Linked DNA regions of Lonchura striata. The protein of the gene in region 1 purifies or fractionates together with the protein of each later gene. This does not show direct contact. Links are inferred from orthologs where the notes say so. Each region holds a gene or a part of one and is shown in the gene's direction. Other genes may lie near its edges.

The links.
Region 2: the proteins of CKAP5 (region 1) and SLAIN2 purify together in Homo sapiens (affinity purification with mass spectrometry; 4 studies listed by BioGRID and IntAct, counting the BioPlex papers as one, with this or other methods). This does not show direct contact. The link is inferred for Lonchura striata from reciprocal best matches to the Homo sapiens genes CKAP5 and SLAIN2.

The regions. Positions count from the first base shown.
Region 1 is NC_134608.1:38,861,019-38,868,889, reverse strand, and holds the start of CKAP5 (cytoskeleton-associated protein 5), read left to right. Parts: upstream 1-4,871; 5' UTR 4,872-5,014; intron 5,015-7,871. Other genes in the region: LRP4 (low-density lipoprotein receptor-related protein 4), read left to right, coding at 1-200. UniProt on the Homo sapiens protein: Binds to the plus end of microtubules and regulates microtubule dynamics and microtubule organization. Acts as a processive microtubule polymerase. Promotes cytoplasmic microtubule nucleation and elongation. Plays a major role in organizing spindle poles.
Region 2 is NC_134606.1:25,852,015-25,859,136, forward strand, and holds the start of SLAIN2 (SLAIN motif-containing protein 2), read left to right. Parts: upstream 1-4,107; 5' UTR 4,108-4,122; coding exon 4,123-4,481; intron 4,482-7,122.

The DNA.
Region 1 (7,871 bases):
TCTGCATGAAGACGGATACGGTCTCTATCCAGGCCAGTTCTGGTTCACTGGATGACACTGAAACTGAGCAGCTGCTACAGGAAGAACAGTCTGAATGCAGCAGTGTTAACACAGCAGCAGCCACTCCTGAGCGGAGGGGCTCACTCCCAGACACAGGCTGGAAACACCAACGCAAGCCCTCCACAGAGAGCGAGGTCTAAAGTACAAGTGGCTTTGGAAACAGTTGCACCCTCCCTACCCTCTGCTCTGCACAAAAAAGACAGGACTCTGCCTGCCTGGCAAGGAAGGGCACAGAGATCAGCCTCTCTTACGAGGGGCCTGAGACTGGGACTGCCTTTCAGCATGGAGCTTCGGCAGCTGTGTTGTTGTGTTTGGAGAAGGAGGATGGGTGGGTTGGTGGAAACCCAGAGACCCTTTTGACTCATTTTCACTGTCTGTGGTTTATTTATATGTTCCCTTTTCCTGGAAGTTGCCACATTAACTTCTGCAGCGACTCGTCTGGCCTGAGTCTGGTTGGGAGTTTCTGTTCCCTGGCAATCTGCAAGTCCTATGCCATCCAGCCCCTGGTCAATGCCCATGAAGAGAGCAGAGCTGCCTCATTGCTGGCTCCTGGTCACAGAAGTACTCCATGTCATTCCAGCACTAGCAGCACTCTTTGAGGCTTTGTGTTGAGGCGTCTCTGACATGAGAGAGGTCTTGGTATAGATGGGATATGCTTTGGGGCTCAAGAGGACACTGACACAGCATCAGGTCACCTTGTAAAGGCGTAAAGAGAATAACCAGGACTCACTTAATGAGAGCCTCACTGCTTACTTTCATATCTGCTACTAAAAACTTTAAGGAATGCTCAGATTGGAGCACTGTGTCTGTTGCTGGCAGTGGACACTGCTCTTATTCTCCCCTTTCCTGTTAAAACATGTTTCTACTCTGGAAAAACAAGAGTCAGCAAATGCCCCTTTCAGAATTGTTCCCTGAGTACTGGAGTCCTAGTGCTGAACTTGAGACAAGAAGAAACTAGTGTTTTACTTAGCTCTATAGAGCTAATGGGGGGAAATGGATCTCAGCAAGACCTATATTTTACTCATCTTTGCATAACTGATATATAAAAAAAGAAAAAGAAAATTTGCTAGGTCCCCACTAGTCCCAATTCTGCAAGGTCCCAATTATTTTAGCCTTTAGGACCTTTGATTACCATAATAAGGGAAAAGAGAAAATTCCTAGGTCGAGTCTTTCCCAGGGGAATGCTCAGTGCTGACAGTTAGGAACTGCTTTATTACTAGGCTGAGCCCATTTGACCTAGAATGGGAGACAATAATCAGGGAGCTGCAAGGACCATTTTAAGTAGTTGTTTATCAGATAGAATTGCACTTTAAGTTCTTCTGTTACCACTAAATAGCTCTCCTTGCCAAATAATTTTTCCCATCAGCTGCATGAGCTTCAGTTGTTCTCTGACCTCCAAGACTCTTACCCTTTAGAGAATGTCATTCTACCTTTGCAGCCAAAACCCGGCAACATCTGGAGCTGGGTCTTGCATGCTCCCAATGACTATTGCCACCTCTTCATACTCTCTTGTCATCTGTTTGTTCAAAAAGAAGAAAGATAAAATATTGCTTGACATTTCTTCAAAAACAAAATTTATATTAACCCCTCAAATCATATGGTATAATATTTACTATTAAGTCAGATCCTTGGAAGCAGAATTTCCCAGTGAAGAATTTCTCACTGCAAACTTTGTAACCTCTTTTATCTCATGGAAAGAGGTCAAGTACATTCCCATCCATGGTGTAAAGAGAGCGAAACATACACTGGGGTATGGTTCAGAGGTGGGGGGAGGGTACATCTCCCATGCAATATCTTTTTCAGCTGATTAAAAAGGAGAATCATCCTACTCTGCTCAAACCTTGTTTATATGCTAACAGGCCTGCTACCCCTGAAAAACATAGCAGTTTGCCTGTACTTTTCACAGCAGAGGTAGCTTTGTAGACAGGGGAAGGTTGCAGCTTCGACCTGGCTAGGTGGCTTGAGACTCTGTCCCTAACTGCACCATTGGGCTGACTGGTGTATATTCCTGTGGAAAATGAACTGGAGCTAAGGTTTGGGTTTCCCTGTGTTATTGTGGGACTCTTCCCTACTCCCAGAGGGATTTACTTTTATTTTTTTTTAATTAGATTTTTATTTAATTATTTATTTGTTTGACTCCAGCCTTGGAAGCATTGATTTTGTTGGGCAGAGGCACTTTTGGGTTGAGGTGTGGACTTGACTGGGAACTGAGAAAGGAGTGCATATCACTGACAATGGGCCCTGCCCACCTAAGCCACTTCACGCAGGGACAACACCAGAGGGCTCAAGCATAAGCAGAAGAATCAATTTGAGCAGAAACCATGTGTTGGGGCAGGGGCATCAGGGCTGGGAGTGGGGAGATTGGGGAGGAAAGCTCTGACCTGTAGGAGAGCTGGGTTTCTTTGGGTTTTGGAATGGGTTGCTTATGTGACCATGCACCAAAATCCTGAGGTGGGACAGGGGTGAAGGGAAACATCTGCCCAGACCTGTCACTTAAGATTAAGTCAGCCTGTCAGAGTAATTGCTGTTCAAGTCACAAGTGTGGAAGGGAAAGGAAAAATAGTCAGTCTTTTCAACAACTCATGGTGTTTGTGATCTCCACCCTGATCAATATTCTCTGCTGTTTCTTAGGAGACACCCTGTGCACTCCAGCCTAACAACTATTCATAACTGCTCTCTAATCCCTTCCTAAAATGATTATGGTGAAAAGGAGCAATAAAATGTCACACAGCCTCTTCTACCAGTGAGGTGGGCAGAAATTTGTGTCTTTTTTCTAGAGACAGCCCCAGTGAGATGCTGCCTTGGGGATGCATCGTGGTTCCCCAGTCTGGGGAAGAGAAGACCCTCGTTGCACTTAGGATGTTAAGAATGTAGAAAGGCTACTGGAGGAAGATCTCTTGAGCACTGATTTACTGTGTAAAAAGCAAACCTCTTTCCTGTCTGTCCTGAGCTAACGTCAGTGATTTCCATGTGTTCCTGTGTAATGGTTTTAACGTTACTCACTGGAGACATTGGATTTTCTGGAGTTATTTAACCACTGTGTTCAATATTTTAGGGGTTGATGATAATTTAATATAAATTTAGCTTTTCTTAACCACTCTGCCTGGCTTCTGGTTGTGAATCATGCATGTTATTTGGACTCTCCTTTGAATGAGGAACTCCTAAACCTGTTCAGACAGAACCTCAGCTTTGCTTCATTTCAGAGGAGCAAGAAGGTAGGAACAGATTTAGGTTCTTAGAAGCGTGATTGTAGCACACACTGTACCCCTATGATTTTGAATCAAGGGCCCAAGATCCTTTCACACACATAATACCTCTCACTCTGCCCCACCTTGCTTTTTCCTCCCCCTCTTTAACATGGCGACAGAAGGGGCTGTTCGTTTTGGCATGTACTAGAACTGTAGACATCTCAAGCCTCTGCTTCAGAACAAAATTCTGAAGAGCTGTTTTTCTTACTGTAGGGAGTGTTTATTTAAGTTCCTGTTGCCTTTATTTATAACCAAGAGTTTAAATAGTGTAAAAAGCTGAGTAATGAATGAAACATCACTAATAACTGACACTGCAGTACTAGTGACAATCTTGTAACACATTCTGTCCCTTTCTGATGAAAGAACTACCTAAAACAATTAAAACAACTGTATTTCTGCTCATTTCATAATTGAAGCACTGTGCAGAAGCCATTTCAGTCAGTTCATGAAAAAATTGCCTGACTTCCAAAAAATTGATGGTGCTCACGTGGCCATGGTGGTGAGAAGGCAGTGTAAGATTAACTGCAGTTGTGTGCATGGCATTCCGATGTCCCTTTGTCTTCTATTCTTATCACCCATAAAAATTGTTCCTTCAATTTTTTAAGCTGAAGTGAAGAAACAGGAGAGAAAACACACTGTGCTCCAAAAAAGTTCACAGAATAGGTCACGGTGGAGAGGACACTGTGGGTCACCTGAGCCAACCTCCCTGATAAAGCAGGGTCACCCCACAGTACACGGCACAGGATAGTGCCCAGATAAATCCTGTGATTTCCAGTGAGGGAGACTCCACAACTTCTCTGGGCCGTCTTGCGGTGCACAGTTACCCACACAGGAAAGAAGTTCCTCCTATTCAAGTGGGATTTCCTGTGCATCACTTTCTGCCCTTTTCCTCTTGCTCTGTTGCTGGGCTCCACCGAGCAGAGCCTGGCTCCATCCTGTCAGCCTCTCTTCAGATACTGACAGACATTGATGAGGTCCCCTCTCAGCCGTTTCTTGAGTTGCTGCTTTGCAAACTCACTGACCATAGGAAAGAAGAGAAGGTCCATTCCTCTGTAACAGGATCTTCCTCAAAGCCGAATCCATCAGCTCCGAGATGCTTTAGTCCATTGCCAGCGGGTCCCGCAGCGTCACCCGGCTGCCTTAGGACCTGCGCCTCTCGCCAGGTGCTGCTCCGGCCGTAGAGGGCCCGGCAGCCCCATAGTGCTGCCTCCCTGGGGACACGGCGGCGGCCGAGAGAGCGGGCGGGCACGCCTCCGTAGTTCCCGAGCGGGGTGCGCCCGGGCCGCTGCCGCTGGAGGCCGCCCCCGGTCCCGGCGCTGCGCTCCCCCCGCCCCGGCGCTGCGCTCCCCCGGTCCCGGCGCTGCGCTCCCCCCGCCCCGGCGCTGCGCGCTCCCCCCGCCCCGGCGCTGCGCGCTCCCCCCGCCCCGGCGCTGCGCGCTCCCCCCGCCCCGGCGCTGCGCTCCCCCCGCCCCGGCGCCGTCTCGGGAGCGCGCGGAGAGCACGCGCTGCGGCTGCCGGATTCAAACGGGCCAATAAGAGGCGCGGGCGGCAGCGCAGGCGGGGCTGGCTGCGGCCAATGGGTGCGGCGGACACTGGGAGGTGCGGGCGGTGCTGGCGATTTCAAACCCCGCCGAGCAGCCGCCGGACCGTCACCGGCCCGACCCCCCGGGCCCAGGGGAGACCCCGCTGTCCTCGTTCCTTCCCCGGTGAGCTCGGGCCCTATTCCGTTCGCTGTCCGCGCCCGTGGGAGGGCGGCTAGGCCTTCCTCCGCCGCCAGGCCCGAGCCTCGCGGTCTCTCCCGGGGAGCGAGGGCAGGCGCAGTCCCTGTGGTGCGACATCTCCCCACGGGGATGGCCCGCGGGCTGCGGCGGCATCCTCCCGCAGAGCCCGGCGGCGTGAGGGTCGCGGCTGGTAGCGGCGGGAGGCCGCGGCCTGCGCCGCGCCGCGGAGGTGCGGCTCGCTCAGGCCGCCCGCCAGCCGCGGGGCGATGGGGCCGGTGGCGGCCGCGGGCTCGGCGCCTCCGTCCGTTGGGGCCTGGGGCTGCCGAGGGCGGCCTTCCGTGGGAGCCGGCCGGGGCAGTGGGCCCGGGAGCCGTCGGGGGAACCGGGCACCCCTTAAGGGAAATGCGGACCGGGCGCCGTCTGTCCCCTGAGGCTGCGTGCAGGATCGGTTCCCCCTCTAGAATGTCCGAAGGAAAACGTTCTCTGGGTGATTGTAGTCCTAACAGCAAAGGCGCGAGCTCGTGTCCTATTTCTGCAGCTCTGTTGGTGCGTGCGAGTGTTAAGATTGCCAGAGCCCCTCACTAGGAGATGCTCCTGTTGAATCCTCTCTAGTATATGCTGGCTAGAAGTGTGTGTACCATGTTTCTGCACACACACCTTTCCCGCATTTCATTTGATTTTGTTTCTGAAACAGACAGTGTTATGATTCTTCCGAAGACAGTATTTTTCAGGCTGGTGTGCAGAGGGTTTTGCTCCTGAATCTGGTGCTCTGTCAGTGGCAGACTGGCACTTTTTGGGTCGGAAGACAGGAAGTTGAGGAATGGTACTTCTATGTGCCTTAAACAAACCGGGATTCTGTTCTAAGAATAAAAATTTTTAAAAACAATATGTGCTACAGTCTTCTAACTGATTTGGGTTTGTTGTGTGTAATATATCTGATCATTCTGCGGTTTTTAACTTTTTGCTGATTTTAGTGTTTGATTTTTTGCTATTTCTGCTGAACTGCAGTGCAGTTCAAGTTGCCTTGTGCATGTGAGAAGGGCATGAGTAGTTGCTGGGATGTTGAGCTAGCAGCAATGGGAGCCCTTCCTAATGTATTACTTGTGTATCAAAGAAAGAGTTGCTATAGGCTTTCAGTGAATCTATTAGTTTGAACCTGTAAAGCTGCTTAGTTCAGAATGCATGGAGTCTCGAGTATGGGAGTATTCTAATGGTCTACTCACAAAAGTCTGTTGCTAAAACTTTGAGAAAGGTTCACCTCAGGAGATGGAAGGATTTGAGTGCAGATTGCCTATATACTGTTGACCCTTTAGTGTCCAACATGAGATCAGTTGATTGTACAAAATTTAGAATTTGGTTTGGTCTTCTTGCCTCAGGCTTGGCCTTTCTTTGAACTTTGCTGTTTTGATAGCTTCCCCCCATATTGAACTTACTAATTCACTGTTTGGTTTTTTTTCTACTCCAAGAATTCTGATAGGGCTAAGCCTTATAAGCAACATTGAGAGAGTGATATATGAAAGTAGAATTGCTGGCAAATGGCCTTCAGGTAAAACAGACTATTTCTGAACAAATGGTTGCAGATGTAGTGAAAGTAATTCTCAAAACCACAAAGTTGGATAGATTAACTAGGTGACCTGTTCTAGGAAAAATTATGTGATGACTTGACAAAAATAAATTTGAATTTTAGAAGTATGGGAGTTATTCAGACTGCTTTAGATCTGTATTGATGGACAGTTTCTCCCTTGGTATTGTAATATGAAAAAAGGGAATGCATGGTGATGGAACATGATTCCTGGTTCTTGTACACATAGGACTTGTATTTTGTCAGACTTAACTTTCATGCTGGCTCTTGCCCTTCCCCTTGTATGGGCCAGTTATGTAAGCTGTGCCTCTGCCTCTGAAAACTTGGTCTGCCACAGTGGGTCTGTGCTCTCATATCAGAGTCTACTAAAATGGGAATGTATTTCATAGTCAATTTCAGTGTAATGTTATAAATTGCTTCACTCTGTGTGTTTGGTGATAAATTACAAAGCAACTTAGCATGTTGTATGCTCCTTCAGTCAACCTTTTCTCTTTTTTTGCTACCCAGTTGTCATCTGCAGCACTTCTGTTTGCCCCTTCTTATCACTTACACACATCTTGAACAGTGCATCCAATTAGAAACTGCTATGAATGTTTTGTGGAGTGGGGATAGCTATCTTAATTACCTAATTTGGAGGATTTTGTTGTGTAGGATGCATGACTGGAAAGACACTTGAGAGATGTAAATTCTTGCAAACCTTTAATTAAGGTTTTCAAAATCATGGTCAGTGTTCATCTGCTTCCCTTTTTTCCGTTCCTACCTCTCCTCGTCCCACACTACCAGCAGCTCTCCTTATATGGTTTATAAAAGAAATATATAAACTTGTATTGCTAATCTGTTTGTAAACTATTTAATGTAAATGGTTTGTCAAGTCTGCCAGAGTAGGATGGCATTAAAGTCATTTGCATCTGTAGCAGAGTGGTTGGTTCAAGACAACATAGTCCAAGACTAAGATGGTGTTGCTTTGCTGATGCTTTGTTGTAGACTGTTCCCAGTGGTTCCTGTTATATGGGTGGAGTTCTGAAGTGACATTAAAAAGCCTTGTACCCTTTTGTTTAAACTAAATATTGCCTTGCACTGGGCAGTGTTGCTCTGGCTTGTTTGAATAAAGAGTCTCTTGACCTGAGCACTTGTACATTGTCTGGGGTTGTCTATGACAGCTCGATTGCTGCAAATGTCAGATGTTGAAAAGCAGAAGTAGAGTGAGGTGGTAGGAAATGTAACTTGGACAATTATTCAGTGGGAAGCGTGGCTGGTGCT
Region 2 (7,122 bases), on another chromosome or scaffold:
AACACTTTGTAAAAATTTTTATAAAGACTTTTAAAGTGTATTTATGCACACCTCACTGCTGTTTAAAGCTTTTAGGGGATGGGTCCTGAAGATGTGTGCAGAGACAATGACTGCATTTTTTAGTTTTCAAACACCAATCCAAAGGGCTAAACTTGTCGTCTCACCACTGAAGAGCCTGATATACTCAGAGGTATATTTAAAAATAACTGAAGTTACAATGTTGGTTCTTTTAGTAGAACCAGAGTAATAGTTCTGACTTTAATTTTGAAAGGAACATATTATGACAGGAACATGCTTCTTCCACTCAGTATTCATTGTCTGCACATGCCATATATTATAATGATAAACAATACTTTATATTTTGTCAAAGGTTTAGCTAAACACTGCCTAACACAAACATGTGTGGGCCTGTTGAACACCTCCTTTGAGAAGGCTGGCAGGCAACAAGCCTTCTGCAGGAGAATAAAAAAAGCTGCTTAAAAACCAGTCCGGTTTTCCAGGCATCAAGTTAAATATTTACAACAAATGTTAACTTCCCACCATGCATCTGCCCATCTTCATGTAGTATTCCCCCTGAGGGATTGTCCTCCCAGGTGACAAGTGAAATCAAGATTTCAAAGTCAGATTCTAACAGTTTTGACAGATGTAAAGAAAAATATTCAGCAGATCACTGCTGTGAGAACCAGCCATAGGGCTGTCCATGCTAGGGAGCTCAAAGGTCAGCAAAACAAGGCTCCTGGTGGCCTTCTTCTAGGAGCCACTCATCAGAAAAGGTGTGTTGAATTATTTGAGTGACATGACAGCCTTGCACAGACTTCCTTTCCTTTGGAGAGACTGCTCCTCATTTCCTTTCATCTCGTGAGTTTAGAACCTGCCCCAAGTCAGGCAAGACAAGCACCCATGCATGTCCTGAGATCTGGAAAATAGTACTGTGGAAAGACTGCTTTTTTCCTCCTTCTCAGTGAAAAGGAAAAACACAGTGTGGGTGCAATCGCAGCTGTTCACAAAAAAATCTGCAACAGATCTAATTTCACACACAGAGGAATTTCTCTTGCTCTTGTGATGCAGTGGAAAGGTTTCATTTTTGTGGCATTAGCATCAATTATTACTATTTCTGTATAGTCACCCAGGGGCCTCTGCTTGGGTGTGGTCTCACATCTGGCCAGTGCAAGCCTGGAATCTGAGCAACAAGAAAGTCGTGGAAGCCTATTATTGACCTGATATTTCATAGGAAGCTTATGGACCAAGACTTGCTGCTCTTCAGTTCCCAGCACATGAGAAGGGTACTCACAGCACAAGAATGAATGAGAAAGCGAAATCATGATTGCTGCTATTCAAAGCACAGTCTATGGTGACTATTAAGCAGTGACTCCATTCATTTCTACTTCTCGTACTCTTTGTAAAAATAGCAGATAATTCAGCAGTTCTGAAACTTTTTTCTGCTACTTTTTTCTCACTTTCCTCCCCCTTTGTCTGTACACACCTGCAGGGAGTGGGTCTTGTGAGGAGAAAAAATTGCTACAGCTGCTGACAGCAAAGTAATGGTGTCAGCAGGGGACAGAAGGTTGGAGTAAGAAATCTGGGGGACAAACAGACCATTAAATGAACTGGGAGAAGAGGAAGGGAGAAGGAAGTAGAGGAGATGAGGAGGGAGAGGAGTAGAGCAGGATGCAGGCAGTGCACTGATAACTAAAGAGTTCTCAGAGCTGCCCCATTACTTAACAGAGGAGACCCCTAAACATGACAGAATCACCAGGAACAGCTGCAGTGTTGGCAGCAGCTCCCAGGAGCCTGCGTCTCTGTGGTCCTGGCTCTCCACTGCACTGCCTGTCTACATCTCCTGGCAGAGCCCTTTGTCACAGCCCCACTTCACTCTGTCACACTTCCAGATCGAGCCACCAGTCCCATCCTGATCCCAGTAGTTGCACTATAGAAAGGATTAAACTCCTCCTGTTGTTACCATAAAAGCATGATTAATTGAAGTGACTGAGGGTTTCTTGTGCCACTGATGTTTGGCCTGAGGGTTGTTATAGAAGAATAAAGAAGTTATATTGTGTGGTCCTGATATAGATGTTCTAATTTGGAATAAACTTCCCTGCATAGTTTAAGACCCACTAACCACTGAATCGTCAGCAGTGTCACTGTAAGTGTCAGAGTCCTGGAAGAACCTTAATGTAAAAAACCTTTATATAATAGTTTCCCTGGCCTTTTGGAGGATTGTAAATTCTGTTGATAAGTAACTGTTCTCACAGAATATATCTGTATTCCCTTAAGGCACTTGACTTTGTACCATATCATACAGACATAAAGAACAAGCTGGATTTACAAACTGACTTACAGACCAATCTCTAAGGAGTTATGATAGTCATTAACGTGGTGTCAGTGAGCAGAGTGCCAAAGGTCTCAGCTCATGGGCCAAAAGTGCTTAGTAGTTTTATAGCTGTGAGAATTATACAAAATCTGTAGCAAAATCTGCTACTGATAAAAGTTTGTTTCACTTTCAGATAACAAAGACATTACCATAAGAGTGATTAAATTGCTTTGTTGAAAGATACCAGCCCTGGTGTCTTTTGATACAGTTAAACACTTAAGGTGATAATTGTTTTGGGAAAACAATGACATAAATTCCATATATGGATCAAAGGCCTGGATTCTGGTGAGAAGCTAACAGTAACAATGCAAAACCACCCCAGAATAAACCCTCAAATAATGTTGTACATACAGAGAATGTAATCTTTCAATGTATAAGGGGAGAGTGTTGTGTAAGGCAAGGAAGTGACCCAGTCTTGTAAGGATGCTGTAAACTCATGCCTGGCAGTCTAAACATGCCAAGAGTCCATGCACTATACCTAACACAACCCAGATTGTGTACCATTAGATGCCCCTAAACTTTGCAACTTCTCAGCACATCCTGCAGGTCTGAGCAACCCAGTCTTTATTTTCCTTCTTCCCTTCCTTGAGCCTGGTAAAAACTGCTCACAGTGGTATCATCCCCTGCAGACTCCAGCTATTCTCTGGCCCACTTGCTGGTGTTCTTCCTCTCCTCAGCTATAGCAGGCTCCAAAATGAAGCTGGCGAGTAGATGGAACATAACAAGAGGAAAAAAATTGTGAAAGGATGGCACTAAGGACACTGTCTTCAGTGGACCAGGGAACAAACAGCATCCCCACAATCCAGCCAATGAAATTTGGAGACAACTTGTCACAAGACATAAAACATCCCAAGAAATAGGACAGGAGGCAATGGGCAGAAAGCAATGCACAGGAAGTCCCACCTGAATATGAAAAACTTCTTTACTGGAACACATTGCACAGTGAACACAATTGTATGCCCTGAGCTCTAGAATGACCCCGCTTGAGCAGGGAGGTTGGACCAGATCAACAACTGTGGTCCCTTCCAACATTATCCACCCTGTGATTCTGCGACAAATCCCCAAGCCCCACTAATTCCTTACACTTAAAGGAATTAAGTGTAAGGTGTAAGTTTTGCTATGGAAGGCAAAATCGCCACAACCTTTAAATGAATATGCATGTATTTATACACGTAGACTCAAAGGATGTTTGGTTCACACATCCGTCATGCACAATAGGGCCAACACTATCACCTACGCTTTGGACCATGAGCACGCCTTGTATTCTTTAGAGCTTCTGAACGGTTTTGGAAGGTATTCCGGGCTTTCCCTACAACTCCTGCCTGGGACCTGTGATGCCCAAGACACGGGAGGCCAGGCCAGCCCGGCCGCGCCGCTCCCTCAGGAGGGAGCCCACCGCAAGGGCCCCTCGGCCGGCCCCAGGCGGGGCCGAGTCACGGCCTCCCGCTGCCGGGGCCGCGAGCCGCGCCATGCTCGGCCATGGCCGGCCATGGCACGCCGTGCCGTGCCGTGCCGTGCCGTGCCGTGCCGTGCCGTGCCGTGCCGTGCCCCTCCGTCCTGCGCAGCGCGGCCCGGGCAGAAGGCGGGGCGAGGCCCGGCGGTTCCGGCGGCAGCGCGGCAGGCGGTGCCATGGCGGCGGCGGATGTGCGTCCTGCGCCCCGCCCCGCCCCGGCCCGCCCCGCCGCCGGCCGCCCGGCCGCGTAGACGGGGCGGCGCGGCCGCCTCTCCCCGCGCAGCCGCCGCCGGCCGCCATGGAGGATGTGGGCTCGGGCGTGAACGCGGACGCGGAGGTGCGGAAGCTTCAGGAGCTGGTGAAGAAGCTCGAGAAGCAGAACGAACAGCTTCGCAGCCGCCACGGCGCCCTGCCCGCCGCCCCCGCCAGCCCCAAGCGCCTGCCGAGCGCCGGGCCCTCCTCGCCGCCGCCCGCCGCCTCCCCGTCGCCCGACGGCCGCTGTCTCAGCCCCAGGGCCGCCGCCCGGCGTTCGCTGCCCGAGGAGCCCGGCGGCGGCGATGGCGGCAGCGGCGGCAACGGCCTGCTGGACGACGCGGCGGTGCTCAGGCCGGAGGAGCTGGAGCGGCTGGCCGGCTGCGATGAGGACGAGACCGGCTGGTGAGGAGGCGGCCGGGGTGGGGATGGGGCGGGGGCGGTCGGTGAGGAGGCGGGCAGGGCTCCGCGTCCCCCTGCCCCCGCCGTGCCCGGGGGGAAGGGGCTGATTCCAGGCTTGTGCCTGATGTCGGAGGGGGTCTCGGGGCTTTGTGTGCGGCGGCAGCCTCGCCCTCTGCGCTGGGTGAAGGGCTTAACGAGCTGTGCGAGGCGTAGCGAAGCCTGCCGGGGAAGGGTGTTTCGCTTTCTGCGCACGGCGTTGGAGCTCCCCGGAGGCCGCGGCTCTGCTGGGCCGCGGCGGGAGCGCTGCCTCGGGGCGCTCGGACACCGAGCGGGCTCCCGTGCTGCCGCAGCGTCAGCATCGGCGTTCTCGGGCGTGCAGGCGGTGGGAGCCGTGGAGAAACTTGTGGGAAATTTATAGGGTAGTTCAGAACTAGCCCACAGGTACTGTTAGACTTCAGACATGTATCAGGGATCTTTTATGCCTCGATTTCTTTCAGCTGTAAAGATGGCAAAGGTAACACTTTTTCATCTCATAAACGCGTTGCCCTTAGGTGTTCTAATTTATTGCTAATGATGCAGTAGGATCACGGTTTCCCTTAGGTTGTTCCTCGTTATAAATGGACTGCTTTACCCTGCTGCTCCAGCAGAAACATCTGCAGGTGGCTGTTTGCCTTGTCATTATCGCACTTGGATGAGCTTCCACTGAGAATCAAGAAGACTTGCTCTCTCCAGACATCACACTGTTTCTAGCTGTCGTTTTGAAGTTTCCTATGAGAGTTGTTGAGGGGCAGCCTCAGAGCTGCAGGACAGATAGTGGGGAGGAGCACCGTGTCAATAACATGTCAACACCATGTCAACAGAGGGATGCAAGGGAAACGTGTACAGGGACATAAAGTGTAATACAAGCAAACTGTCTTGCAGCAGAACCGATTGTGGGTCCATCTAGCAAGGTCTCTGGGAGCAAACATGGAGACAAATTTACAAAACAAACAAAAATGTCTTGTAGAGTTAGAAACGCCTTTAGAAATGCTGGACTGATTCCATGCATGAGCAATGTTTTAGTTGCTCAGGGAGGAGACAGTGTGTGCACTTCTTTGGCAAAGTCATTTGCCTGACATTCAGCCTGATCCACTGGAGAAGTATGAGAGCATAGGTTTATTCTCATCCAGCACTAAATTAACACAAGGCATCATCTCCCAGAAGATGAGTCTGTCTGTGCAAGGCAGCTGCTCTTATTTCTTACTTTTTGCCTTGTAATCTACAAGGGCCTACAGCCCTTGATGGAAGTACAATCTGGTAAATTTGCACGGCAGGTCTGGGGTAGGATGGCCAAATTTGTAAATGTCATGAATTCTAGTGACAATAGATCTTACTGTTTTGTACATTCATTCTAAATCATGGGTAGCATAATGAGTCTCTTAGGTGAAAGTGAATGTCCCGACAGCATGTGTGGTGACAGTGGCGTGTGTTTTTGTTGACACAGTTCTGGGTACTCACGGGGCAGCCAAATGGTTCTCTGAGCACTGCCCTTGCTGGTGTCAGGTGTCTGGCTGCCAGTTATTGTGGCACTGTCATGTTTCTGTGCAAGTTCTAGTGCTCAAAAACCAGCAAAACTTACAGGTGGTCTTCATTCCTTTACTAATATTTTGGCAACTATAATGCTGAAGTGTTTAGCAGCTAATTTTGGGCATGGGACACTGAGACAGAAATGCATGAAACAAAAAAAGCAACTGTAAAAATTTGCTAATTGTCATACATATCACAAAATATGGGTATGTAGTTATTAAAAAAAAGTGTTTTCCTGCTGTAGTTTAATCTGCAACTAATGATAAACATAGTTTGGCTAGATTGATGATTTCGTGTTCCAAAGTGCTTAATTAAAGTGGGAATTAAACTCTTGGAATTTCTAAACACCTTCTAATTCAACTGTTGAGACACTAAATAGTCCAATCCCTTTTATTTTTCTATGAAGGGAAGATGCCTTTATGCATTAGATTAATGGAGGTTATTGGTCTTAATGAAATTTGAAATTTTCAGAGGGCTGATGGAGCAATCTAAAACAAACAAGCCCGTGAAGGTAGGAGGGGTTGGTGTGAATAAGTGGATTTCCCTTAAACTGTTTCATAAATAATTTAATCAACTGAAAGAGTGAATGTATTCAATGAAATTTAAGTCTCATATGAACTCTTTGAGGTTCAAATGGATTAACCCAAAATCCTGTTTAAAATATGGGATTACACACTGTCAAAATCAAATATCTCTTAGCTGCTGAGGACACCTCTTGTGGAAACAAACTAAATTTAAATCATTGTTTGTTCATAAAAAATTGATTCATCTTGCGTGTTTTGCTTGTCTACACATAGAAGTTAAGATTTGTCTTTACTTTTGATTTCAAAAGGACCTTGCTGTGGGTAACAATAGGTTGTAGAGGGTGCTGGTTATTGCTATTCTTTTCTGTTTTGTGTAATACAGACATTTTCATACCCCATTATGAAATTGTCTGCAGTTTTGTCATGGCAGAATAAATATTTTTTTAACTGTTAAAATGACATTGTTTTACATTTAATGCTCACATGAGATTAGTGGCTGTGAATTTAAGACAGAGCACTTGATACTGTGATTGAAATTGATACTAGAATGTGAC